Linked DNA regions of Macaca fascicularis. The protein of the gene in region 1 binds, or shares a complex with, the protein of each later gene. Links are inferred from orthologs where the notes say so. Each region holds a gene or a part of one and is shown in the gene's direction. Other genes may lie near its edges.

Region 1 (3,959 bases):
GCTATCACGTACAGCTTCATCTTGTACCATACTCCCCTTCATTCTCTTTGTATCAGTCACACTGGCTCTTTGTGCTTTTAGTCATTTTTCCTCCCAAGTGCCTCAGGGCTCTGAACAAGTAGTTCTCTACGGAAGGTTCTGCCTTTACCTCTTCACTTAATTAATTACAATTCTTCCTGCAGCTACCAGAGCAGGCATCTTTTCCTCTGAAAAACCTTCCTGCTTATTTCAGGCACTCAGCATCAAACAGCACTAGGAGGCATTTCCATGTATTAGTGAGGTCATTGTTTAACGTTTTCCCCACCAGACTTAAACGCCCTGAGAGTAGGGACCGTGTCTGGTTCACGACGTACCCCCAACGCGCTGCTAAATAAATATCAGCTGGACGACTGACGCAATGACCACGTTCATGGGCATGAGTCTCAAATTTCTCAACAAGACTGCGCTCTGGAGAAGGAGTCGGACATTTCCTTCATCATTGTCTCTCTCAGGGGGGCAGAGACTAGGCCCTAATCAAAAACTGCAAAATCAGTGGCAGAAACAAGTCAGCCTCCTCGGCCAAACGGGGCGCCGGAGGAAGTTGGAACACAGGCCTTTCTCCCTGGGAATGCCCGGCACAGGACTGGCCACGACGGGCGCTCTTGAAGAAGGGAGCCGCAGGGACTGGGTCTTGCCGCCAGAGACCCCCAAGGCTCCGCTCCCGCCCGGAAAGGGAGCCCATGCTACTACTTACCACAGCTGGGGACTCGGGGCCCCGCCTCCCACCCCTTGCTATCGGCACCCTCAGCTGAGAAGGGCAGCTTCAGACTGCACAACCGAGGCGTCGCCTTCAGACTCAGGCTGCCACCCACCCAGCTCTTCCTCATACGTACTAGGCGTCAGCTCCAGGCCCCCGAGTCCCGGCGCTGAACTAAACGCCGAGCCCAGTCAGCCAGCGCGTTTCCACCCACAAGACCCAGCGCGCCTAGGGAGGTCGCCAGCTCCGTCCACCAATCCTGGAATCGCACTCTCATGACGTCAGAAAGATATGCCCAATAACAAGAGACTATCCGAGGGCAGTGCAAATGGGTATATTGAAAACCGATTGGTTCTTCCAAGCTGGAAGTTGTGGAGGAAGGACTAAGCTGGAACCAATTGCGTGGCGCCTGAGGGGGGCAGCGCGGTCAGTGGCGGCGCTGAAGAGACCGGTTGCCGCCATGATAGAACAACAGAAGCGTAAGGGCCCAGAGTTGCCGCTGGTTCCAGTCAAGCGGCAGCGGCATGAGTTGCTACTGGGAGCGGGGTCGGGCCCGGGAGCCGGGCAGCAGCAGGCGACGCCGGGAGCTTTGCTGCAAGCGGTAAGTGAAGAAGCAGGCGGCCTTTGGCCCTCAGCTCATCTTCCTCCCCTCAGAGCGCTGTATCTGGTGACCCGGCACCGACCCTTCCCGCATTGCGGGGGGCAGAACGAGAGTTTCTACCTAGAGTTAAAGCACACCAACATTGTAAAAGCGCCTCATAGCCTGCGGATGCTCAGTACTTGTTCGCCCGTTTGGCGCTGGTTTTCAGCCTCTCGACTGCCTTGTGAGGTAGCGTTAGAATTAGCGTTGAGAACCTTGGGCTCACAACCCGGACCCGGGCTTAAGCATCCTGACTCTAACATGGATCTAGCGTAGAACAGAAATTCCGAAGACTTTGTAGAATGAATGAATGAGGGAGGGAGGAAAAGAGGGAAATGATTGGTGTTGGCTCGTTTTGGGACTTTGGGCAAGTTGCTTTTCCCTTTATTTCTCTGCACTAGTATTATTAACAACTGAATAGCAGCTAACATTCGTTGACTCTTGTACTAAGGTGTTTCGTATATGAAATTTCCATTGATCTTGGTAGCAGCCTGTTAGGAACGTTATTAACCCATTTTGCAGATGGAAAAGCAGACTTATCAAGCACGTGATAGAAACAGATGTTGAACTGAGAAACCATGCTCCTAACTATATTTTTTGTAAGATGGAAATAGTGATCACACTTCTAATGCCCTGTTTAGGCTCAGACGAGGAAATACGAGTGTCCTCTCATCTCCTCAATAAATCCTGCTGGCACCGTTCTCAAAATAGATCTAGAATTGCTACTTCTACCATTTCCATCACTGCCTCATGGCCTAAGCCGTTATTATCTCATCTGGCATTTTTGTAGTGGGACCCTAACTGGTCTTCCACTTTCTGCCTTTGTAGCAGCACCTGTTACCAAGCCAATAACCAAAGGAATCCTTCTAAACAACGGATCACATTACATTCTGCAGAAAACTTTCTGGTGGCTTTCTACTTCATCCAGAGTAAAAACCAAAATTCTTATAATTATTTGTCCTCTTTCCCTTTACCTCTCTGACCAATTTCTCATTGCTCACCCGGCTTCAGTTACACTCTCTTCCAAACCTCTGCCTCTGGACCTTTGCATTTGCTGTCCTCCCTATGGGATTGCTCTTCCCAAATGTTCACATGGTTTATTATTCAGCTCCTGCGAATATTTGCCCAAATGTAATTTTTTCAGTGAGGGTTTTCCTGACCACCCTGTTTTAAATTGCAGTGCCACATAATGTGGAACCCACATTGCTTCTCTCTCTCTCTCTCTCTCTCTCTCTTTTTTCTTTTGAGATAGAATCTCTCTGTGTTGACCACTGGCTCGCTGCATCCTCCGCCACCAGGGATCAAGTAATCCTTCTGCCTCAGCCTCCTGAATAGCTAGGACCACAGACACATACCACCACACCTAATTGTATTGTATTTTTTTGTAGAGACAGGATTTCACTCCTGAGCTCAAGCAATCTGCACACCTTGGCCTCCCAAAGTGCTGAGATTACAGGCATGAGCCACCTTGCCCATCCCTTCTTTTTTTCTATAGCACATGACACCAAGTATATATTTTGCTTGTTTTCTCTCACCTTCTCTCCTCCCTTCCCCCTTTCCCACTGGAACAGCAAGCTCCATTGTTTATTTTGTTCATAGCTGTTTGCCCAGTGCCTAGCACATAACTTTTTATTTTTAAGATGGGATTTTGCTTTTGTCACCCAGGCTGGAGTGGAATGGCGCGATCTCAGCGCACTACAACCTCCGCCTCCAGGGTTCAAACGATTCTCCTGCCTCAGCCTCCCGAGTGGCTGGAATTACAGGCGCCCACCACCACGCCTGGCTAGTTTTTGTGTTTTTTTTTAAGTACAGATGGGGTTTCACCATGTTGGTCAGGCTGGTCTCAAACTCTTAACCTCAAGTGATCTGCCCACCTCAGCCTCCCCAAGTGCTGGGATTATAGGTGTGAGCCACCGTGCCCAGCCTGCACATAACATTTTTTAAAACTAAATGAATGTGGCGGGGCTTGGTGGCGGGCACCTGTAATCCCAGCCACTCAGGAGGCTGATGCAGGAGAATCGCCTGAACCCAGGAGGCAGAGTTTGCAATGAGATGAGATCATGCCATTGTACTCCAGCCTGGGCAACAGAGCAAGACTCCTTCCCAATAAATAAATAAGTAAGAATGTGCTGGAAAGTGCTGAAGAGATTTGGGGATTATGGGTAGTATACTTCTCCCATTTGACAAGTGAGCATATCAGCCCATGTTTAGATGAATTGCCCAAGTGTCATCTTAGTGTCCAAGACCATAATCAAAACTACTTCACCCGTGCTGAGGATCCCTTCGCTATGAAAAAAATAAGAAAAATAGGCCATGTGCAGTGGCTCATGCCTGTAATCTCAGCACTCTGGGAGGCCAAGGCAGGCAGATCACTTGAGGCTGGGAGTTTGAGACCAGCCTGGCCAACATGGTGAAACCCCATCTCTACTAAAAATGCAAAAACTAGCTGGGCATGGTTGTGCATGCCTGTAATCTTGGCTGCTCGGGAGGCTGAGGCACCAGATCCCTTGAACCCAGAAAGCAGAGGTTGCAGTGAGCCGAGATCACGCCACTGCATGCCAACCTGGGTGACAGAGCAAGACT
Region 2 (3,500 bases), on another chromosome or scaffold:
CCATAATGATGAGTACCAGGAGACGATGGTGGAGTCCACTTTTATGTACCTGACACTTGACCTTCCTACTGCCCCCCTCTACAAGGACGAGAAGGAGCAGCTCATCATTCCCCAAGTGCCACTCTTCAACATCCTGGCCAAATTCAATGGCATCACTGAGAAGGTAGCCCATTAACACACCTGCCCTGCCTATATTTATCTTTGCGCTCTTGACTTTTTCATTTTCTTTTTTTTTTCTTTTTCAAGACAGTTTTGCTCTTGTCGCCCAAGCTGGAGTGCAGTGGCATGATTTCAGCTCACTGCAATCTCCACCTTCCAGTTTCAAGTGATTCTCCTGCCTCAGCCTCCTGAGTAACTGGGGTTACAGACATCCACCACCATGCCCAGCTAATTTTTTTGTATTTTTAGTAGAGATGAGATTTCAGCATGTTGGCCAGGCTAGTCTCGAACTCTTGACCTCAAGTGATCCATCTGCCTCGCCTCCCAAAGTGCTGGAATTATAGGCGTGAGCCACCATGCCCGGCCCATTTTCATTTTATACATAAGAATCACCACATGTATGTAATGTATTTATTTTAAAGTATATTGACTTTATTGAGCCTACCAGACTCCTTGGTATTTCTAGCTGGTCACGCCCAACTCTTAACTTACAGTGCCCATCTTTTTATTATTTTCTGAGACAGGGTCTTGCTCTGTCACCCAGGCTGGGGTGCAGTGGCATGATCATGGCTCACTGCAACTTCAAACTCTTGGGCTCAAGTGATCCTCTCACCTTAGCCTCCTGAGTAGCTGGGACTTTTTAGTAGAGATGGGGTTTCTCCATGTTGGTCAGGTTGGTCTCGAACTCCCGACCTCAGATGATCTACCCGCCTCGGCCTCCCAAAGTGCTGGGATTACAGGTGAGAGCCATCGTGCCTGGCCAATTTTTTATTTTGTGAAGAAAAAAAAGACACGCTTCCCCACGCCCAGCTAAGGTTTTTTGTAGAGAAAGCTCTCACTCTGTTGCCCAGGCTGGTCTTTAACTCCTGGCCTCAAGGTATCTTCCCACCTTGACCTCCCAAAGTGTTGGGATTATAGATGTGAACCAGTGCCCAACCACAGTGCCCCCTCTTGTACTTCTCATATATCCTTTTTTCAGCTTCCTGCCTGCTTCTGGGTAGTATAGAGAAAAGAAGGTCATTTAGGAGAGGAGAAACTCCAAAAAGTGGGGAGACATACTTTTTTTTTTTGAGATGGAGTCTCACTCTGTTTCCTTGTCTGGAGTGCAGTGGTGTGATCTCAGCCTACTGCAACCTCTGCCTACTGGGTTCAAGCAATTCTTCTGCCTCAGCCTCCTGAATAGCTGGGACTACAGGTACATGCCACCATGCCCAGCTAATGTTTGTATTTTTAGTAGAGATGGGGTTTCACCATGTTGGCCAGGCTGGTCTCGATCTCCTGGCCTCAAGTGATCTGCCTGCCTCAGCCTCTCAAAATATTGGGATTATAGGCATGAACCATCATGCCTGGTTAGCTTGCTTTCTTTACATACATATTTATATATATATATATATATTTTTTTTTTCCTTTTCTTTTTTTTTTTCTGAGACAGAGTCTCACTCTGTCGCCCAGGCTGGAGTGCAGTGACGCGATCTCGGCTCCCTGCAAGCTCTGCCTCCCGGGTTCACGCCATTCTCCTGGCTCAGCCTCCCGAGTTGCTGGGACTATAGGCGCCCGCCACCACACCCAGCTAATTTTTTGTATTTTTAGTAGAGACAGGATTTCACCATGTTAGCCAGGATGGTCTCGATCTCCTGGCCTCATGATCCACCGGCCTTGGCCTCCCAAAGTGCTGGGATTACAGGCGTAAGCCACCGCGCCCGGCCTTTTTTTTTTTTTTCTTTTTTTTCTTTTTTAGTAGAGATTGGGTTTCACCATGTTGTCAAGGCTCGTCTGGAACTTCTGTGCTGAAGTGATCCGCCTGCCTCGGCGTCCTATAGTGATAGGATTACAGGCGTGAGCCACCAGGCCTGGCCTTTTTTTTAAGTCAGCCTTAGCCAAACTGCACATCCTAAGCCTCATACATAATTTCTGGGACCAAGAGTCTTGTGAACTTTCGGTGTGAGGCAAAATTACATTTTCAAAAACCAAAATGAAAACCTCATGCCCCTGCTCTAATACCTACTGAACTTCAGCACTAATTTGATAATTTTCTTTTTTTTCTCTAGGAATATAAGACTTACAAGGAGAACTTTCTGAAGCGCTTCCAGCTTACCAAGCTACCTCCATATCTAATCTTTTGTATCAAGAGATTCACTAAGAACAACTTCTTTGTTGAGAAGAATCCAACTATTGTCAATTTCCCTATTACGTAAGTAACACCCTGCTTCACTTCCTCTCACGGGGAGTGAACCTGGATTTCTTCTCTTATGTTTTTACCAGTATTAATTTTGGACTGTCTTAGTTGGGGATTACAATTAACAGAGCCTACCTACAGTAGATAACAGTTTTTATTGGAAGGATACACTTAACTTCAGGGACCACAAAAGATAGATGTTTACTAGGAGGCAATCCCTGTTTATCCCCTCTCCTGTTGCTGGCCGGAAATTATAGTCCTCCTGCGTAGAGAAGAAGAAATGATGCAAGTAGGATAGGACAAGTAGAATTCTGCCTGGTTTGGAAGATGTCCTGAGTAGTGAGGGTCTGCCCATCTATTTGCTGGCTATCACACCTTTTTGCACACTGGAGTTGTACTAGATGCTTTTAATTTGCTTCCTTCTAACTCAGAAAACTTCTGCAAAATCCTTTTGGGGGTAGACTGTTGGTTTTCAGTTCTCAAGAGACAAGGTTTTTCACACTTAAGAAGATGTTGGGCTGGTCATGGTGGCTCACCTGTAATCCCAGCACGTTGGGAGGCCAAGGCAGATGGATCGCTTGAGCTCAGGAGTTCAAGACCAGCCTGGGCAACATGGCAAAACCCCTTCTCTAAAAAAAAAATACAAAAAATCAGCCCGATGTGGTGGTGCACACCTGTAGTCCCAGCTACTTGAGGGGCTGAGGCAGGAGGATTACTTGAACCTTGGAGATTGAGGCTACAGTGAGGTGAGATGGTGTCACTGCCCTGCAGCCTGGGTGATAGAGTGTGACTGTGCTCAAAAAAAAAAAAAGAAAGAAAGAAGTAGTGTCAGTTTTAAATTCTACGTAGCGTTTAAGAAGGTAGTATCTAAAATTAAGAGGCCCGAGTTTTAGGCTGCCTTAGTGGTGGGCCCTCAGACCCGTAGTTTGCATGTTTTCTGGGTATGTTCTCTCAAAGATAAAATGAGCAGCTTGGAGTAGATGGGCCTGAGCCCTCGGGGTTTGTCCAGGTGTAACATCTTGTTATAGTATTGCTAGGACTCTTAGAACCATGGAGGGTGAGGAGAGAGAACATTTGCAGTTGAGAATTACAGGGGAATTTTCTCTTTTCTCTTTTCCCCCACTTTTCTCCACTAACATCTTGTTTGTGAGACAGTAGAATTAAA
Region 3 (3,500 bases), about 12 Mb from region 1:
CAACACTCCAAGTCACTAATATTTCCCTTCTGTCTGCTCAGGGAGATGGTACTGGAGTTGCCAGTATTTACCGGGGGCCATTTGCCGATGAAAATTTTAAACTTAGACACTCAGCCCCAGGCCTGCTTTCCATGGTAAGTGAGGTCCAATCAAGGTTTTGCGTTACAGCCAGCTGGTTTCTGGGCCCCTCTTGAGGCCCAATGCTGTGTTTTGGCATGATGAAAGCAAATGCTTTCTTTCTCTTGCTTGCCCCAGGACTCACCTTTACCACCTCTTTTCTCAGTCTGGTTTGATTGAGAAAACCGGTAGGTACATGGTGGATTACAGGTGTGAGCCTGTATCACGTCTGTAATCCTAGCACTTTGGGAGGCTGAGGCGGGTGGATAACCCGAGGTCAGGAGTTCGAGACCAGCCTGGCCAACATGGTGAAACCCATCTCTACTAAAAATACAAAAAATTAGCCAGGTGTGGTGGTGGGTGCCTGTAATCCCAGCTACTTGGGAGGCTGAGGTAGGAGAATCGCTTGAACCCAAGAAGGGGAGATTGCAGTGAGCCAAGATCGTGCCACTGCACTCCAGCCTGGGCAACAAGAGCGAAACTCCGTCTTAAAAAAAAGAAAAGAAAGAAAAGAAAACCAGTAGGTAAGACCCTCTAGCAGGCTAGCAGGCTGGGGAACTAAAATATGAACCAGGGTTTGTGTCTAGGCATTCAGCCCTACTGCTCAGAATGTAAAAAGCTGTGCTTTCAAGACATATTCATAGCTGGGCCTGGTGGCTCACACCTGTAATCCCAGCACTTTGGGAGGCCAAGGCAAGAGGATTGCTTGAGGTTGAGGTCAGGAGTTTGAAACCAGTATGGGTAACATAGTGAAACTTAAGTCTCTACTAAAAAAAGAAAAAAAAAATTAGCCAGGTATAGTGACACACACCTGGAGTCCCACCTACTAGGGAGGCTGAGGTGGGAGGATTGCTTGAGCCCAGGAATTTGAGTCTGCAGTGAGCCATATCCTGTTCATCTCTGGATCCTTGGATCCTAGCTTAGGCCCTGGCTCATAATAGGTGCTAAGTTAGATTTACTGAAAAAAACATGGAGGGATTAGGGTTACAAGCTCTTTTGGGAATCTTACCCATCAGGTAACATGGCCAAGGAAACTTACTGCAGGTATATTTGGTTTCCATCAGGCAAATAGTGGTCCGAGTACAAATGGCTGTCAGTTCTTTATCACCTGCTCTAAGTGCGATTGGCTGGATGGGAAGCATGTGGTGTTTGGTAAGTCCTACTCATGTCCCATGGTCCAGGCCCCATTCACCGCGGATGGAACCTCCAGAGGAGTTAGTTCTCAGACTCTTACCAAGAATGCTCAACTTGGATAACTGCTTAGGTGGTAACAGAGAAAACAGAAATGGTGGGGAGGTGGGGAACATGTTTGGCTAGAGAACTAGAGGGAAGGACAAAAGGGCCATTTGATATAGTATGGAACCACTCAGGGGAAAAACCCAGTAGCTAGCACCAAAGAAATGCCATACAGGCAGCATGATATGGTGAGACTTTGCAGTCACTCAGATATAAGTGTGAGCCCTAACTCTACTTATTACCTATGACCTTGAGCAAGTCATTTCACCTCTACTGCATCTTAATTTCCTAAAGTTAGTAACAGAATCTAATGACATAATAGCTAAGAATGGGCTTTGGAAGCTGGAAAACGCTATGTAAACAAGAATAAAGTCCAGCTCACACTCTTCCTACAGGAAAAATCATCGATGGACTTCTAGTGATGAGAAAGATTGAGGTAAGTACTGCTTTGATTTTTCTCTTTCTCTCCCATTCTGGTCTGGTACTGTCTGACTAGCGTCCAGGAGCTAGAGAAGGGGGAATGAGCTCCAGTTTGTTAGGCCCAGTCTTCATTGCTTCAGGAAAAGGGAGGAGAGACCACCTAAGTTAGCCTGTCTGGTCAGCACTGAGGTTTGGCCCCTGACGACCCTGTTGCCTACTTGATAAAATTCTACTCCTCAGCATTGCATTCAAGGTCCTTCATGATTAGTCCCTGTCTACTTCTCCACGGCCCCTTCTCCTGCCACTGCCTCTTTCATGTTCCAGTCACATCAGGCTACTAGCTCTTCCCTAAATCTGCCATACACATCTCTGCCCCTTGCTCTTTCCTGCTCCTGAGCCTTTGTTCACACTGTTTCCTGTAGCTGGAATGCTCTTCTTTCCTTCCCTCCTGGTGGAATCCCATTCATCCTTCTAGGCACAGTTCAAATAATCCTCTTTTGTGAATCCTTCCCTGACCTCTTTAAGCAGCAATTTAGTTACCCGTCTACCCCTTATCCAACTCTCTCATAACTTTTTGTTATATTATCATAGGTTTGATGTTTTCTAAGTGTTTTGCATTTTCTCTTTGATACCTGTCTGCCAGGACATGGACAGTTTCTGAGTGCTGAGTCCTTAGCACAGGGGCTGGCAGGCATCAGTAAAAGTTTGATAAGGGAATGAGGAAGTGCCTGAGTGGATGAATGTCCATTGTGCTTTTTTTCCTAGAATGTTCCCACAGGCCCCAACAATAAGCCCAAGCTGCCTGTGGTGATCTCACAGTGTGGGGAGATGTAGTCCAAAGACTGAATCAGGTAAGTGTGTCTTTCTGCTATTAGGTTAGGAGTCAGACCTCAAAGAAGACAGCATGGTCTAGTGGAAAGATCTTTAGTCTTGAAGACATGAGATTGAGCCCAGTTCCTCTGTGTGTGACCTTGGAGTGGTCACTTTCCTTCTCTGAGCATGTGTCCTCATCTGTCAAATGGAAATACTGTAATACCTATCTCTCAGAGTCACTGTAAAAATCAAAAGAGAAAGGGTTGTAGGAGCACTGTACTTTTCTATCACTTTGTAATGTACAAAGTATCAATCTGAAAACTACTCAGGCAGTTTGTAACAGCACTTTCAGACTACAGTTCCATTCAGTAGTCCCCCTAGAAAGACCTGGCTCCAGGCCTGAGTAACTCTCTGCTGGGACCAGGCCAAGCAGCCAGGAGACACGCCTGTCATGCACCTCATCAGAACTGATACTGCAATTCCAGGCCTTGACTTCGTATTTGCCGGCCTCACAGGTGAATGCCTTGCATCTTCCAGCCTACATGGACTCATTTCTTACCCGTATTTGCCACTGCCTGCTCTGCGCTGGGCAGCATGCTCGCTGCAGAGAGCGGGGCAAAGAATTGAAAGGTGTCTCCTTTCAGGAGCTCATGGGAAGTAAGACATTCTCAGAGGTCATCACTAGTAATATGAGTGACACTGCCAAGTGTGAGAAGAGTACAAGGGGGAAATCCGAGGTGAGGGATAGTAATGTTTTTCTTTTTTTTAATTTCAAACCTGCAAAAAAGTTAGAAGAATACCTTGACCACCCATATATCTTCACTTAGATTCACCAGTGATTAACATTCTTGTTTTATTTCTTTGCCTTGACATTGGTTTTTTTCTTTCCCTTCTTGCCTCCTCATCCATTTCCA
Region 4 (3,500 bases), on another chromosome or scaffold:
TGGTTTTGATGAAATTTGATTTTCTTTTATAGTTTTTGAATCCTATGGTAATTAATGAGAATATAAAGCTAGAGTTTGAGGTTTAATTATTGCTGGTCATCAGACACAAATGCAACTAACTGTGTACCCGTGGAGCCTACTGCCACATCATCTCATTAATGTTGGATGCTCCCTTTTCCATTGCATAGGCTGCACACATGTATTCTGGGGCTAAAACTGGGTTGGTGTTAACTGACATACAGCGAGAACAGCAGGAGCTCAAGAAACAGGATCAAGAAACCATGGCATTTGAAGGTAAAAATATGAAAGTGCAGAGACCAATCCAGGCTCATTTTTTTTTTTTTAATTTAGCTTATTGTACCTGGTATTTTAAACTTTTAATTGCTATCAAATTTCAGCTCTGGTTTTATGCATGGTTGTAATTTCTCAGTGAGTCCCAGTGTTTCTTTCCTTCTTGAAAAATGCCATTTCGCCCAGGCGTGGTGACTCATTGTAATTCCAGCAATTTGGTAGTCCGAGGCGGGTGGATCAGCTGAGGTCTGTAGTTCGAGACCAGCCTGGCTAACATGATGAAACCCCGTCTCTACTAAAAATAGAAAAAAACTAGCCAGACGTGGTGTTGCATGCCTGTAATCCCAGCTACTCAGGAAGCTGAGACAGGAGAATCGCTTGAACCCGGGAGATGGAGGTTGCGGTGAGCCAAGATCGCGCCACTGCACTCCAGCCTTGGCAACAGAGCGAGACTCCATATCAAAAAAAAAAAAAAAAGAAAAATGCCATTTCTCGGGCCCAGTGCCAATATGCACCTAGATGTTGGTAGGAACTACTTTGGTCTGGCTGCAGAAGTTCTTATCCAGCATTAGAATCCCAAGTGGTTGATTTGATCTCTTAGAATGTTATTTCTGATTTTGATCCTGATATTTGAGTATAATTTTCCTTTGCAGCTGAATTTCAATATGCTGAAACCGTATTTCGAGATAAGTCTGGTCGTAAGAGGAATTTGAAACTGGAACGTTTAGAGCAAAGGAGGAAAGCAGAAAAGGACTCAGAGAGAGATGAGCTGTATGCCCAGTGGGGAAAAGGGTAAGGGAACCACTGAAAGGGTAAACAAGATGGCAGTGACTGGAACAAGTCATTTCTCTGCTCTTCTTGATCACTCACTTTCTTATTATGCCTTCAGAGCTGTTATCAGTAATGGGAAATTTGGTGTGCTGAATCTTCTTCCTAGGATATTGATATATTCCACACTTCCAGTGGATATTCTGGGAATTTTACCCTGCTCAGTATTTGCCCTAGGGTACTACTAGAAAGAGGAGAGTCTCCAAATTTAGCAGTATGGTCCATCTTGTGTAGAAGTGGAAATGTCATACAGGATAGCAAACACTCTTGGTTCTTTTTTGCCCAGGCTTGCCCAGAGCCGGCAACAGCAACAAAATGTGGAGGATGCAGTGAAAGAGATGCAAAAGCCTCTGGCCCGCTATATTGATGACGAAGATCTGGATAGGATGCTAAGAGAACAAGAAAGAGAGGGGGACCCCATGGCCGACTTCATCAAGAAGAATAAGGCCAAGGAGAACAAGAATAAAAAAGGTGGGACTTCTGGGAATCATCAGAGCTGGAGGTGACTTGTGAAGAGAGAGAATCATTAGGATTCTGATACATAGCTGTATGCAAGGAAGGATTTCCCAAATAATTTAAATTCATTGTATTTGTGAGTTTAGATTCAACTCAACTGGTCTTTCTATGTGAAAATTTTTCCGGGCCAGGCACGGTGGCTCATGCTTGTAATCCCAGCACTTTGGGAGGCTGAGGTGGGTGAATCACCTGAGGTCAGGAGTTGGAGACCAGCCTGGCCATTGTGAAACCCCATCTCTACTAAAAATACAAAAAAAAATTAGCTGGACGTGGTGGTGCACGCTTGTAATCCCAGCTACTTAGGAGGCTAAGGTACGAGAATCGCTTGAACCCAGGAGGCAGAGGTTGCAGTAAGCCGAGATTGTGCCACTGTACTCCAGCCTGGGCAACAGAGTGAGACTCTATTAAAAAAATAATAATAATAATAAAAAATTCCCACATTGCCATCCAGCTCTGAATTAAATTATGTCATTAACTAAATACTTTTTTCTTACTCCTCTCTTTAGTGAGACCTCGCTACAGTGGTCCAGCACCTCCTCCCAACAGATTTAATATCTGGCCCGGATATCGCTGGGATGGAGTGGACAGGTAAGCCTGGGTATTTCTTAGGTTTTTATTTTCTCTTCTACCTGACTGTAACCTTCCCTAACCACTCGTAAGTTGCTCCACACTTTATTTCATTCTCTGCTTTAATCACAAGGTGAAAAATATGCACTTTGCTTGCTTCTATTTCTGAGGTCCACAAATCCTATTTTTCATGCTTGGAACACTCCTCTTTCTGTTTCCTTTTCATAACACTTTTTAAAGCTCTGTACAAACAACTCAGGTGGTTCAGATAAGACACCCTTTGTTTTGGACATTGGTTACTTTTAATGATATTTTCTAAGGTTTAGAGGGGTCGAGTGATGAGTCGTAGTCTGGAGCCTTCTATGTGATATGTCTTTAAAATGTAGCCTCTGAATCTTTCTTCACTTTACGGTCTTAGGAGGCAGTCACTTTTAATGTCTCACGGTCCTCTACCACCTCATCTGTCTACCTACCAGCATCTGTACCCACATGCTCTAACTTCCTGTCTGTTATGATGGATGAACTATATTTGCTTCCATCCAGAGTCAGTTCGTGTACTTACGTATTAGATTCTATCTCCTCTTGCCTACTAAAGGACATTGTTTTAGTATCTAGCACAATAATTCTCAAACTTTTTAATTTCAGGATCCTTTTACACTCTTTTTTTTTTTTTTTTGAGATGGAGTCTCGCCCTGTTGCCTGGGCTGGAATGCAGTGGCGCAATCTCAGCTCACTGCAACCTCTGCCTCCCGGGTTCGAGCGATTCTCCTGCCCCAGCCTCCCGAGTAGTTGGGATTACAGGCGCGTGCTGCCATGCCCAGCTATTTTTTATATCTTTAGTAGAGACAGGTTTTCACTATGTTGCCAGGCTGGTCTCGAACTCCTGACCTTAGGTGATACGTCCACCTTGGCCTCCCAGAGTACTGGGATTCCAGGTTTACAGGATTACAGGATTACAGGTGAGCCACCATGCACAACCACTCTTGTTTTTTGTTGTTGTTGAGGCAGAGTCTTGCTCTGTTGCCCAGGCTGGAGTGCAGTGGTGCGATCTCCACTTCCCGGGTTCAAGCAATTCTCATGCTTCTGCGGCCTGAGTAGTTGGGATTACAGGTGTGCATCACCATACCCAGCTAATTTTTGTATTTTTAGTAGAGACGGGGTTTTTGCCACGTTGGCCAGGCTGGTCTTCAATTCCTGGGCTCATATGATCGTCTGCCTCAACTTCCCAAAGTGCTGCGATTACAGGCTTGAGCCACCATGCCTGGCCTACACTCTTAAAAATTACTGATGACCTCAGA
Region 5 (3,968 bases), on another chromosome or scaffold:
GTCTGGGGCCTGTGTTCTGTAACCATGGAAGAAACTGAGCATGGACTTTCTGTGCAGTTCCATCGTGATCCAATATGGGAGGAAATCCCTAGGGAGAGAGAAGTGGCCCATCTAGTTGCCTTGGGGAAGAGTAGGGGAACTCTCACACTGTCCTCGTCTGGCTCCAGCAGGTGCCGCCTGGGCAGTCTTTGCTTAGGGGGATGCAGGCTCCGAGTGTCCTCAAGAGCTAGAGGTTCCAGTACAGGGGCTGACCCCCCGCCACCTCCCCCAGTCCCGCTTCTGCTTGGGCCACATTCTGTTACCTGGGCACGAGTTGCTAGGCCCTGTTTGCTCAGAGGAGCTTCATGCTACAGAGAGGCACTGTTGCCCTTTTCCAGGCCGTGGTGCTAGGCCCTGTTTGCTCAGAGGGGCTTCATGCTACAGAGAGGCACTGTTGCCCTTTTCCAGGCCTATCTGAGAGCAGGGCACAGGGACTTCTGGCCTGGGTACTGGTGCCAATGCCACCTCTCCAGTGATGGCTCTCCCACCTCAGAAGCCAGGAACTCGCCCAGGGTATGGGCGTGGGACAAATGACTTCCCCTGGGTCCTAAAGGGAGCTGTGTCCAGAAAGTGCCCCGAGAGCCGTCCAGGGGCCCCGGGCTGGCCATCGGGAGAGCCAGGCTTCCCCTCGGGGAGGGCAAGGCTCCACCTCTCAGATAGGAGAGCTTACCACCGGACCACAGGAGTGGGAAGGCAGGATTTCTAACGAGACGGTAGGGGCGCTGAGCCCTCAGCCCTGGTGGAAGGGTGACTCGAACCCAGCACAGGAAAACGGGGCAGCGACCCACTGGCCCTGCTCGGACTTTGCCCCTCCATCCTGACCCTGGGCGACCCTTTAAGTAGATGCTCTCGTTTTTCTCCAGAGCCTCTACTGCTTGAATGAGGGAATCGAAGGTACTTCCGGCCATTTCTCACGCCCGGTCAGAGTGTAGGCATTCACAGGTCCCCTCTTCTCGCCATTGTCCTCCCACGCGACTGACGTCACTTCTTGCGGGAGAGAGGGTGGAGGCGTCTTCCCTCGCTCACCGCGTACTTCCGCCCGCTCTTCCAGTTAGTTCCCTAACCCGAGTGAAGCCACTTCCGGGCTTCCCAGGCGCCTTCCACAGTCCTCTTCCGGGTGATGGCGGCCGGGTGCCCCGGATGTAGCCTTGGCGCAAGCATCTCTTCTTTTCGCCACCTCGCCTCCCGCGGAGTCCCAGGTGAGCGCGCGAGGGTGGGACAGCCCGGATCCCCGTGGCCCTCTAATTTGTACACAGCCCGGGACAGTTGGGGCTCACCACACGGAATTGGGAGTTCGGAGCAGGGAGGAACGGGGTGGCGAGAGCGCCAGGTCCTGGGTCTGCCCGGGCCCCGCGAGCTCCGAGAGAGCCAGAGTAGGAGGCGGGGGTCAGCCGGTCGAGCCGGTGGCGCCCAGACTGCGGGGGCTGGAGTTGGGAGCGGTCACGTGGTGAAGTCTGTTCCCTGTTGGCCAGGGTCAGGGGATCCAGAGGGTCCGCTCCTCCGTCCCCACCCCATTTAACTCGCGGATGCTAGACCCAAGTCCTGCAGGCCTCCTGGCTGCCAGCTTCTCTTCAGCCCTTGCTTTTGTGCTCCCTCCGCTCCCAAACTGTACCTGTCACAGACCAGGAAAAATATTTGCTGTGCTGGGTCCTCTGGTGGCGAGTCCCCTCCTCACCCCATTCTCTTTCTCTGTATCCTTTCCTCAGCTTGAGAAACACCTCTCTGCCCCGTCATGCCAAAGAGGAAAGTGACCTTCCAAGGCGTGGGAGATGAGGAAGATGAGGATGAAATCAGTGTCCCCAAGAAGAAGGTGAGGGGGCCAGACTCCTTTGTGTGGGGGAAAGAGAGGAGCTAGAAGCCTGAGGAGAAAGAAAGCTGGCGGGAGTGGGGCGGGGCGGGCAGGCAGAGAAAAGCCTAGTTTTTTCAGGTTCTCTGAAGAATGGGTTGGGAGCATCTTCAGTGTGGGTCCTAAAATATTTGGGGAAGTAGTCGAGATCCTGAAATATTTGGGGAATATTTGGGTCCAGATCCGGAAGTATTTGGGGAGGTAGCCAGTAACCTGCATTTCTTGACTTGACTCCTGCTCACAGCTGGTGGACCCTGTGGCTGGGTCAGGGGGTCCTGGGAGCCGCTTCAAAGGCAAACACTCTTTGGATAGCGATGAGGAGGATGATGATGATGGGGGGTCCAGCAAATACGACATCCTGGCCTCAGAGGATGTAGAAGGTGAGCTGTACCCAAGAATACACTCTGCTGGAGAAACAAGTAGGGGCCTCTGGTGGTGTGGAGTGAGGGAGGCTCCAGTCTCTCTTTTCCATGCCTAGAAAAGGGCACCTGTGTCTTTGGTACAGGTCAGGAGGCAGCCACACTCCCCAGCGAGGGGGGTGTTCGGATCACACCCTTTAACCTGCAGGAGGAGATGGAGGAAGGACACTTTGATGCTGATGGCAACTACTTCCTGAACCGGGATGCTCAGATCCGAGACAGCTGGCTGGACAACATTGACTGGGTGAGGCCCAGGGGCTGGTGTGGCTGGGGCCGGGGAGTGGCGGATGCTAGGCCTGCTCCCATGGCAGTTCGTGGGAAATCACTGCATCTTTCCATGACAGGTGAAGATCCGGGAGCGGCCACCTGGCCAGCACCAGGCCTCAGACTCGGAGGAGGAAGACAGCTTGGGCCAGACCCCAATGAGTGCCCAAGCCCTCTTGGAGGGACTTTTGGAGCTTCTGTTGCCTAGAGAGACAGTGGCTGGGGCACTGAGGCGTCTAGGGGCCCGAGGAGGAGGCAAAGGGAGCAGCAAGGGGCCTGGGCGTCCCAGTTCCCCTCAGCGCCTGGACCGGCTCTCCGGGTTGGCCGACCAGATGGTGGCCCGGGGCAACCTTGGCGTGTACCAGGAAACAAGGGAACGGTTGGCTATGCGGCTGAAGGGTTTGGGGTGTCAGACCGTGGGACCCCACAATCCCACACCCCCACCCTCCCTGGACATGTTCGCTGAGGAAGTGGCAGAGGAGGAACTGGAGACCCCAACCCCTACCCAGAGAGGAGGTAAGCTTGGAGGACAGAGGAGGGGGCAGTGGGCGGGAAGTGAGACACCGGAGGTCAAATGGCTTTGCCTGTTATTTTAGAAGCAGAGTCGCCAGGAGATGGTCTGGTGGATGTGATGTGGGAATATAAGTGGGAGAACACGGGGGATGCCGAGCTGTATGGGCCCTTCACCAGCGCCCAGATGCAGGTGAGCTGCTTTCTCCCTCCTTCTGGCTTGTCCCTGCTTCCCCTACTCCTGTCAGTCCTTCCCCAGCTCTGCCCTCTCCTTGCAGACCTGGGTGAGTGAAGGCTACTTCCCGGACGGTGTTTATTGCCGGAAGCTGGACCCCCCTGGTGGTCAGTTCTACAACTCCAAACGCATTGACTTTGAGCTCTACACCTGAGCCTGCTGGGGGCCCAGTTTGGTGGGTCATTCTTTCCTGGACTTTGTGGAGAAGGCACCAAGTGTCTCAGGCAGTGAGGAAATTGGAGGCCATTTTTCAGTCAATTTCCCTTTCCCAATAAAAGCCTTTAGTTGTGTATTGGGGCCTTGGCTGTGCTGACGGCCAGAAGCCAGGGGCCTTCTCCACAGCCACTTTGGACTTGCCTTGGTCCCTGAGTGTTTGCTCCCATGAAGATCTTCTTTGGAGGTGCCTGTCAGGTGTCCTGTGGCCTCACTGCCTGGACTCTGCTTGCTGTGTAAACACCCCCAACTGCGCTACTTTGTGTTCCTCTCTGAGGTTTCTTGTTTGATTCCCCTTAGGTCTTTGGCTTTCAGGATGTCAGATTCTTTGTCCTTGTAGCCACCAGGGGATGGAGCCCCAGAAGTGGAGCTTTTAGGCCTGGAAGGACCGGGGCATGGAGAAGACATTGGGTCTCTGTTGGGGGTGGGCATGGAAACGTTT
Region 6 (4,120 bases), on another chromosome or scaffold:
AATGTTTATAATGGTTTTATTTATATTCACTAAAATCTGGGAACAACCCAAATGTCCAGCAACTGACAAGTGAATTGTATGATATATCCATACAATGGAATTCTACTCAGTAATACAAAAGAAGAAATTATTGATACATGTAACAATATGGATGAAATCTCAACTCAAAATACTAAGTGAAAAAAATCAGATCCAAAAGGCTATGTAGGATTCCATTTATATGACATTCTGGAAAAGGCAAAACTAGGGACAGAACACAAATTAGTGATTGCCATGGTTTGAGTATGGGAATAAGTGGATTAACTACAGAAACAAGGGAACTTTGGGGATGATAGACAATTCCATATTTGACTGTAGTGAATGTATGTAAAAAATTCAAAACTAAAAAGGATAAAAATTTATGTGAAGTTATACTTTAAATCAACCTTTTTTTCCTGAGGTGATTTAAATAAATATGTTAGGTAGTTTGATGACCCGTTAAGTATGAAAGTGGTACCAGAATGGCTTGAAACTCATAAAATATTGGCGGAGTGGTTACGAGTTATTCCAAAAATCAAATAATGCATATGTTTATTCATAAGGCCCTTGTCATTTCAGAAGCTGGAAATGAAACAGTACTAATGTCTTTGAATTTGTGGCTTCACCACTTTTTAGCTCCACAACTAGGAGCTAAATCAGGAGAGATTAATCTCTCTAAACTGTTTTCTTTTCTATAAAAGAAGGATCATCATACTTGCCTACAGGGTAGAGTTACCAGATAAAATACAGGAAGATTGGTTAAGTGATGCGACTTTCAGACCAACCACGAATCCTACTTTAGTACAAGTAGGTACCAAATATATTTATAATTAAAAAGCGATTCGCTGTTAATCTGAAACTCAACTTTAGACGTTCTGTAATGAGAGAAAGAGAGAGAGAGAGAGAGAGAGAGAGAGAGAGAGAGAGAGAGAGAGAGAGAGAGAGAGAGAGAGAATGAATAAGAATCTGACAGCCCTACAGAGAAGTTATGAGAACAAATGAGACACTGGAACCACAAGACGTTCGCCCAGCATTTGGCATAATAAGCGCCTCAATGGTAGGGAACGCTGTTTTAATCCCAGCCTCTTATGCATTACGTCTTACTTTATTCTTTCGCCCAATTTTTAAATAAATCAGCTGCACGTGTGGCCCTTCTTTCCAAGCAGGCAAAAACTCAAAGGAAGCATCCAGGTACAATATAACAGGACCCGGATTGTTAAGCTTAGAAATTCCAAGAGCGGGCGACGTCATGACGCAAAGGCTCCGCCCCGGAAGAGGCACTGGACGCGTAATTAAGACGCCGACTAGCCCGGCGCTAGCCTCGGGGCTTGACGGGATTGTGGCGGTCCTCTCTCCCAACTCGGAAGCTACAGCTGCCTCCGGACGCTCTCAAGATGGCGACCTCTCTGGGTTCCAACACCTACAACAGGCAGAACTGGGAGGATGCGGTGAGTGTTCCTGCCGGAGGAGGATGGAAGGAGGAGGCGAAGCCGCGCACCTTGCAAGCTCGCAGGACAAGGCCTGCGGCGCGGCCGAAGGAATTCCGGGGAGGAGCCAAGGCGGTGGCCTAGCTTTGGCCGGAGTAGGAGGCCGGAGGGCGATCCTCTTGCGGGCTTGAAGGGCGGGGGCTTAGCCAGGGTCCCGGGACCAGCGCCCTTTCCATCCCTGCCCCCTCCAGCCTATTCGAGCTGGTTTTCTTTTCTCCCGCCGCCTGCCGGAAGTGCAGACAGCGCCCCCTCCCGCGATCGGGTCGTGATGGACTTCGGGTTCCTGCCGTACCTTGTTCCCCACCCTGGCTTCCCGCCCCCTCGCCGCCCCAAGTGTCACTGAGGTGTCAGGGTCTTCGGAAGGTGGTCCTCAACCAGATTTCCCATTTTCACCAGGACTTCCCCATTCTGTGCCAGACATGTCTTGGAGAAAACCCATATATCCGAATGGTGAGTGATCGCGTGTGAAACGAGTTATTCATGTCCTGTCAGTGTTGTGGTACTTGCACACTGTGAAGTGTTTCTCTTAGACAAGCAGAAAAAATGATGCTGTTTTACTAACCCAAAGTGCTGGACGACTTGCAAAGAACTGTCATGTGTATTCTCTTACTTACGAATCCGGTAACACTCCTGTGATGTAGGGGTAATCATGATAGCTAGTATTTGTTGAGCATTTACCCAGGAAATAGGTCTGTTGACCAGAAGGTGAGAGCGTTTGTGTCTTTTCATACAATAGTAATGAATGGAGCTGGGATTCAAGTTCAGATATTCTGGCTGTAGGAATGTCAGCATGATAGGAGGAGAACCAGAACTAAAAACTAGGTTTCCTGACTCCTGGTCAAATGCCTTTTGGCCAGTGTACTTTATCTCTTTAAGCATTCCCCGTTTCTTATAAACAAGGGTAAAATTAGAACCAGTTAACAATAATTAGGTTAGGGCTGTATTATTGTGTAGTCGTAGAGATGTTGATATATTAGTATGTTCAAGATGTTTGAATGGTTCAAGATGTTTGAATAGTTCTGTTTAAACAGAACATTTACTATATTCCGGGCACTGGCACAGGTCAAGTCTACAGTAGCTACCTTTTGACTAAACTTTGTAAAGTGGGCGGGCCATAGCTGTATCCTCTCTGATTTAGGGATTGTGGAAACCATTAGGAATGTTAGTTCTTGGGAGTGAACTTGGGAGCCAAAAATGAACCTAGGAGTTGTGGCTGTGGAAAGACACTCAGTTACCTAGTATTAGATGCATATACTCTATTTTTTTTTTCCCTGTGGAGACAGCGTCTTGCTATGTTGCCCAGGCTGGTCTGGAACTCCTGGGCTCAAGCGATCCTTCCACCTTGGCCTCTCAAAGTGTTGGGATTACAGGCGTGAGCCGCTGCCACCTGGCCCAGATCCGTATACTCTTGAGATGTTATAACTTACAATATGTTGTTATAGTATGTTTCCTACCCTCTTCCCAAAAAAGTTTGGGTTTTGGTTTTTGTTGTTGTTGTTGTTGTTTTTCTCTCTCTCTAGGATGCCAGGGATTTCCAGACACATTTCTTGGGTTATGTTTAAGGAAATAGTAGACACCTGGCTTTTTTCTTTCTGTAACTCCAGTTCTTTTCTATTTTTTTTCTATTATAGACCAAAGAAAAGTATGGGAAGGAATGCAAAGTAAGTATGTCTGTTAAAGAGTAATGATTTCTGTTTCATTTTTCTTTTCTCTACCAAATTAGCCTTCAGCTTACTAAGTTTTGAGGTCTTCCAGTAAGAATCAGTGCCATACAACTTTTTATGTATTACTGATATATTCATTGGCTGGCAACTATTTATGTGGGAGGTAAGAAAATGAACCCTCTGATGTAGAGATTCTAATGTCAGTGGATGGGCATTGAAGGAGTTTGTATACCAGGTGGTATATGACTGTCCACATGAGCATTTTAGCTGAGGAGGAAGGTCATCCCTGTCAGAAGATTCTCAAAAAATTTTATGACACTCCCCACTCCCCCTAAAAAAGATTAAGGTTCAGATTATTATTGGTGCTTACCTCTAGGATGGGAAGAACTTTGACCTTTTGGCTATTTCATTTCTGTACTCTGAATTTTTGCTGGAGAAGGATGCTGAAAATTGTATTGAAACATCAAATCAACTAGATGGTTGCTAAGGTCTCTTCTAAACCCTACATTCAGGGATCCTTTTTTGAATGCCCCATTGTTATCAGAGCTCCAGATTGCCCAGATCAGGGCCATTAACATTCTGTGGCTCTTGTTTTGTGTTCCAGATCTGTGCCAGGCCATTCACCGTGTTTCGCTGGTGCCCTGGAGTCCGCATGCGTTTCAAGAAGACTGAAGTGTGCCAAACCTGCAGTAAATTGAAGAATGTCTGTCAGACCTGCCTCTTAGACCTAGAGTATGGTATGCTTGACCTGTCCAATAGATCTGAAAGTGTGCAGGTGCCTAAAACTACAAGCCAGTCTTTTGTCTCCCACTTCTCACCCTAGCTCTGGTTCTGATTTCACTTTGGAATGTCTGCTGTGGTCTGCTTTTCCCAGGAAAAGAACCATAATTAGTCTGTTCTAGAGTCCTGAACAATAGTAGGAACTTAAGGAAAATTTGGGAATTAATCAAA
Region 7 (3,500 bases), on another chromosome or scaffold:
GTGCCATTGTAGGAACACATATTTGGGTCTCTTCTTCAAGTATACACTATTAGAATTTGCAGAATATTGAATTAGTTTTAAGTATCTTTGCCCAGAAGGTTGAATCCCTTTTTGTGTAGCATGAGTCAGCGTATGTGGTAGATTCGTGTAGCTTGTTTGTTTTTTAATGACTCTGTGGTCACTTGAACAATCATCTTTCTTTAACCATATAAAACAAAAATAAACATCTGTTCATATTTCTTTAGAAAATGTACATCTCTCTCTCTTTTTTTTTTTTGGTTACCGTAGGTTTAACTGTATTTGAAACTGGTCAGAAGAAAACAGAAAAGAGGAAAAAGTTTAAAGAAAATGATGCATCCAATATTGATGGTTTCTTGGGACCATGGGCAAAATATGTGGATGAAAAAGATGTAGCCAAACCTTCAGAAGTAAGCTTTGATGTTTGTAATTGTCAGTTCAGGTCTATGCTGTATCTCTATGAAGGATATCTACATTGATAAACTTGAGATTTCCTTAGAGAACCAAATGACTCATCAAAATTTTTCTGCCTTTAGTTGATTGAAAATATACAATAAAATTTATTTTTCTTTGAAATATTTTTATTTACCTTTTTTGCTGATTTGTTTTCTCTCATGCTTTTTTATTGAATTACAATATTGAACAATTTTCATAAAGATTTCCTTGATATTGCTATTAGGCTGCCATGGTAGCTGTTCTTCTGATACTAGACATTCAGATAGTAACTACAAAATCAGCCTTCTATGACACTAGAATTGATTAGAAGTTTTATTGATTTATGAATTTATTTAAAATTTTAAACAAATGTTATCTCTATGTGTATTTTTAAAACTACTATAAAGTTTGTAAAGTAAATGCTCTGCCATTCCCTTCCTCACCTCCTAATCTCACTGTCTTCATGAGCCAGTCTCAGAAAAAAAAAAAAAAAAGTGTTGAGCTTGTTATCCTGGGAACATACTTGGACCAGATATGTAGACCTCATTATAAATAATTTATAGCACCAACTTTAGGTATAATGAGGTTCTAGAACATTCACTTTAAATTTCACTCCTTAATTTTCTTAGGAAGAACAAAAAGAATTGGATGAAATCACAGCAAAGAGGCAGAAAAAAGGAAAGCAGGAAGAAGAGAAACCTGGGGAGGAGAAGACAATCTTACATGGTAACATTTTTTATACATCTTCATTTTTATGAAAAACCTTTTATATTTACTCTGTTAGCTGTTCATACAGTATCATTACCCTTACTATCAGCTGTCATAAAATCATTATGTTGAGTATAATTATGTTAGACAATTTGTATCCCAAGGAAATTACAGCAGACTTCTGTACACTGATAAAGGAGAAAAAATAGCATGATTAATCATAGCCACAGATAATTTTTTTCCAAGTGTTAATGAATTTTATTAAATGATAGATAAAGAAGAAACTTGAATAGTCCACAGTCTATTCTTTCGTAAGATAAAGTTGACTCTTTTGGTGTATTAATAGTGCCCGAGTCATTTTAACTGTTTTTAATGAAGCCAAATACTCAGGTATCCACACAGTTCATAACCGTTATTCAGCTATACTCAGAATAAACTTGGATTTTCATGTGAAAAGATGGAGATTAAGGCTTTCATACTTATTTTGACTTGTAGAAGGAAATGCATATTCACCAAAATAAATCATAAGTATTCTAGAATGTACCTGTTAGTTAATAATTAGTTATATTTTAGGAACTTACATAGTGATTATCTAAAACTGTAAAGAATAACTTAGTGCTTACAGTGTTGCTTATTCTAATGTTATATTACATCAGATATTTAGGTTTGATGAAGCCATATTTCATTCTTCAAGCTTCAGTTTTATCTCCAAGGAGTCTATTCAGTACTATGGTGCTCAAAACTATAATAACAATAATATAATAACATTTATTGAGTACTTACTCTGTGCCAGGCATGTTGCTAATTGCTTTATATACAGTATGTCATTTAAATCTCACAGGTGACCTTATTGTAAAATTTGTGATGAAAGCAGGAAAAGATAAATGAAAGGGAACTGGAAGGGCATAAAAGAGGAAAGCACGGGAAAAGGATAGTTGATATATTTTGTTTTGTTTTAACTTCCTTCTTAACCTGTTTTACTTCTGCTTCTTTACCAGTGACTCACAAGGCCCAAGTATTATCTTCCCTTGCTATAATTATGCCACAGTGAAGTCTTTATAGATTACTAAGATGTGTAAGTGATGAAAAGAAGTATAGATCTTATCTAAAGGTCTGTAATCTCTGGGTATTTAGGAATTTCGAAATACTACCTCTAGTTGTAAATGATAGCAGTTATTTTAAGCACTTATATCTTAGCTGACTCTTGATCTTTACATCATTGGAGTGTTACTACCTGAACCTTAATATGGAAGATATCCCTGTGAAAAAAATGTGATTTTAAAAATATAGGTTTCATGACTATGAGTTGTATTTGTTTATTGATTTTCTTTGCCTTTTTGTTTCAGTTAAAGAAATGTATGACTATCAAGGCAGGTCCTATCTTCACATACCTCAGGATGTTGGTGTTAATCTACGGTCAACTATGCCACCTGAGAAGTGTTATCTTCCCAAAAAACAAATTCATGTGTGGTCTGGACACACGAAGGTAAGCAAGTTGGTTGTTTCTGTTTGCTGTAATGCTATTATAATGAAGCCAACATACAGTTTTAGCTGTTGATGTGGAACATTTAGTGTTTCTGGTAAAGGTGCAGGGAAGTCAAATTGAATATAATTCTGGGTTAGGCTTTGGAGGTGCCCGCACATCCATCACAGGTGACTAATCAGTCTTCAAGCCATCTGAATTGGCCATGATATAGCGTTCATGATTTAGTGTTCTGCATCCTTGTAGCCAGGCCTTTCCCCATAAGCTCCTGCTACAATCTTCTTCCTTTTGGGCACCAAATCAGTGAGTAATGGGCTGGTACTAGCACCAAGTCTCCTGCTTAGTTTCAGTAATTTTGCTTTAGCTCTGTGGTTATCACACTTCAGAGATTAGATGCGCCCTGGTTTATAAACTATGGTAATTTTTAAACTAATGCAGAGATAAGGTACATGAAAATTTTTGATGTTGATATTCTTTGTCATATGCACCATTCCAACTTGTAATTTCCAACTCTTTGCAAAGAGCAAAGGGACTAAGTAAAAAAAGGAAGAGAAGTGGGGGCAGTAGCAATTTGATTGACTCAGGATTCCATTGGGTGAGGAACTCAATATTAAAGGTTAGAAAAAAAAATCTTCAAAAGCTTGGTGTCAATAAGGTCTGCTCTTGGAATGCTAATGAAAGTTATTCTGGGGTGTGATTTTTGGAATGAAAAATAGCAAATTAGGGTACTTAATATATACTGTCTTTTCTTGATGCTTCATTTGAGCTCATCTTTTGAATGCTTCTGGTTGATAACTGTAATACCTTTTTATAGGGCGTCAGTGCAGTCAGATTGTTTCCTCTCTCTGGCCATTTA

What was found.
Region 2: SNRNP40 (region 1) and USP39 share a complex: the UniProt entries of both Homo sapiens proteins name them as parts of the U4/U6-U5 tri-snRNP complex. The link is inferred for Macaca fascicularis from reciprocal best matches to the Homo sapiens genes SNRNP40 and USP39.
Region 3: SNRNP40 (region 1) and PPIH share a complex: the UniProt entries of both Homo sapiens proteins name them as parts of the U4/U6-U5 tri-snRNP complex. The link is inferred for Macaca fascicularis from reciprocal best matches to the Homo sapiens genes SNRNP40 and PPIH.
Region 4: SNRNP40 (region 1) and BUD13 share a complex: the UniProt entries of both Homo sapiens proteins name them as parts of the minor spliceosome. The link is inferred for Macaca fascicularis from reciprocal best matches to the Homo sapiens genes SNRNP40 and BUD13.
Region 5: SNRNP40 (region 1) and CD2BP2 share a complex: the UniProt entries of both Homo sapiens proteins name them as parts of the U5 snRNP complex. The link is inferred for Macaca fascicularis from reciprocal best matches to the Homo sapiens genes SNRNP40 and CD2BP2.
Region 6: SNRNP40 (region 1) and RBM22 share a complex: the UniProt entries of both Homo sapiens proteins name them as parts of the postcatalytic spliceosome P complex. The link is inferred for Macaca fascicularis from reciprocal best matches to the Homo sapiens genes SNRNP40 and RBM22.
Region 7: SNRNP40 (region 1) and CDC40 share a complex: the UniProt entries of both Homo sapiens proteins name them as parts of the postcatalytic spliceosome P complex. The link is inferred for Macaca fascicularis from reciprocal best matches to the Homo sapiens genes SNRNP40 and CDC40.

Annotation. Positions count from the first base shown.
Region 1 is NC_088375.1:203,713,518-203,717,476, forward strand, and holds the start of SNRNP40 (U5 small nuclear ribonucleoprotein 40 kDa protein), read left to right. Parts: upstream 1-1,159; 5' UTR 1,160-1,196; coding exon 1,197-1,337; intron 1,338-3,959. UniProt on the Homo sapiens protein: Required for pre-mRNA splicing as component of the activated spliceosome. Component of the U5 small nuclear ribonucleoprotein (snRNP) complex and the U4/U6-U5 tri-snRNP complex, building blocks of the spliceosome.
Region 2 is NC_088387.1:35,945,862-35,949,361, reverse strand, and holds part of USP39 (ubiquitin carboxyl-terminal hydrolase 39), read left to right. Parts: coding exon 1-163; intron 164-2,207; coding exon 2,208-2,350; intron 2,351-3,500.
Region 3 is NC_088375.1:192,203,566-192,207,065, reverse strand, and holds part of PPIH (peptidyl-prolyl cis-trans isomerase H), read left to right. Parts: intron 1-41; coding exon 42-134; intron 135-1,181; coding exon 1,182-1,269; intron 1,270-1,748; coding exon 1,749-1,789; intron 1,790-2,538; coding exon 2,539-2,607; 3' UTR 2,608-2,624; intron 2,625-3,500. UniProt on the Homo sapiens protein: PPIase that catalyzes the cis-trans isomerization of proline imidic peptide bonds in oligopeptides and may therefore assist protein folding. Participates in pre-mRNA splicing.
Region 4 is NC_088388.1:115,610,320-115,613,819, reverse strand, and holds part of BUD13 (BUD13 homolog), read left to right. Parts: intron 1-188; coding exon 189-294; intron 295-944; coding exon 945-1,083; intron 1,084-1,405; coding exon 1,406-1,590; intron 1,591-2,141; coding exon 2,142-2,223; intron 2,224-3,500. UniProt on the Homo sapiens protein: Involved in pre-mRNA splicing as component of the activated spliceosome. As a component of the minor spliceosome, involved in the splicing of U12-type introns in pre-mRNAs.
Region 5 is NC_088394.1:28,493,692-28,497,659, reverse strand, and holds the start of CD2BP2 (CD2 antigen cytoplasmic tail-binding protein 2), read left to right. Parts: upstream 1-1,168; 5' UTR 1,169-1,238; intron 1,239-1,745; 5' UTR 1,746-1,771; coding exon 1,772-1,849; intron 1,850-2,129; coding exon 2,130-2,265; intron 2,266-2,390; coding exon 2,391-2,548; intron 2,549-2,648; coding exon 2,649-3,084; intron 3,085-3,164; coding exon 3,165-3,271; intron 3,272-3,337; coding exon of another isoform or gene 3,338-3,356; coding exon 3,357-3,467; 3' UTR 3,468-3,968. UniProt on the Homo sapiens protein: Involved in pre-mRNA splicing as component of the U5 snRNP complex that is involved in spliceosome assembly.
Region 6 is NC_088380.1:157,581,478-157,585,597, reverse strand, and holds the start of RBM22 (pre-mRNA-splicing factor RBM22), read left to right. Parts: upstream 1-1,320; 5' UTR 1,321-1,412; coding exon 1,413-1,466; intron 1,467-1,901; coding exon 1,902-1,955; intron 1,956-3,136; coding exon 3,137-3,166; intron 3,167-3,773; coding exon 3,774-3,906; intron 3,907-4,120. UniProt on the Homo sapiens protein: Required for pre-mRNA splicing as component of the activated spliceosome. Involved in the first step of pre-mRNA splicing.
Region 7 is NC_088378.1:14,240,477-14,243,976, forward strand, and holds part of CDC40 (pre-mRNA-processing factor 17), read left to right. Parts: intron 1-288; coding exon 289-428; intron 429-1,082; coding exon 1,083-1,179; intron 1,180-2,507; coding exon 2,508-2,647; intron 2,648-3,458; coding exon 3,459-3,500. UniProt on the Homo sapiens protein: Required for pre-mRNA splicing as component of the activated spliceosome. Plays an important role in embryonic brain development; this function does not require proline isomerization.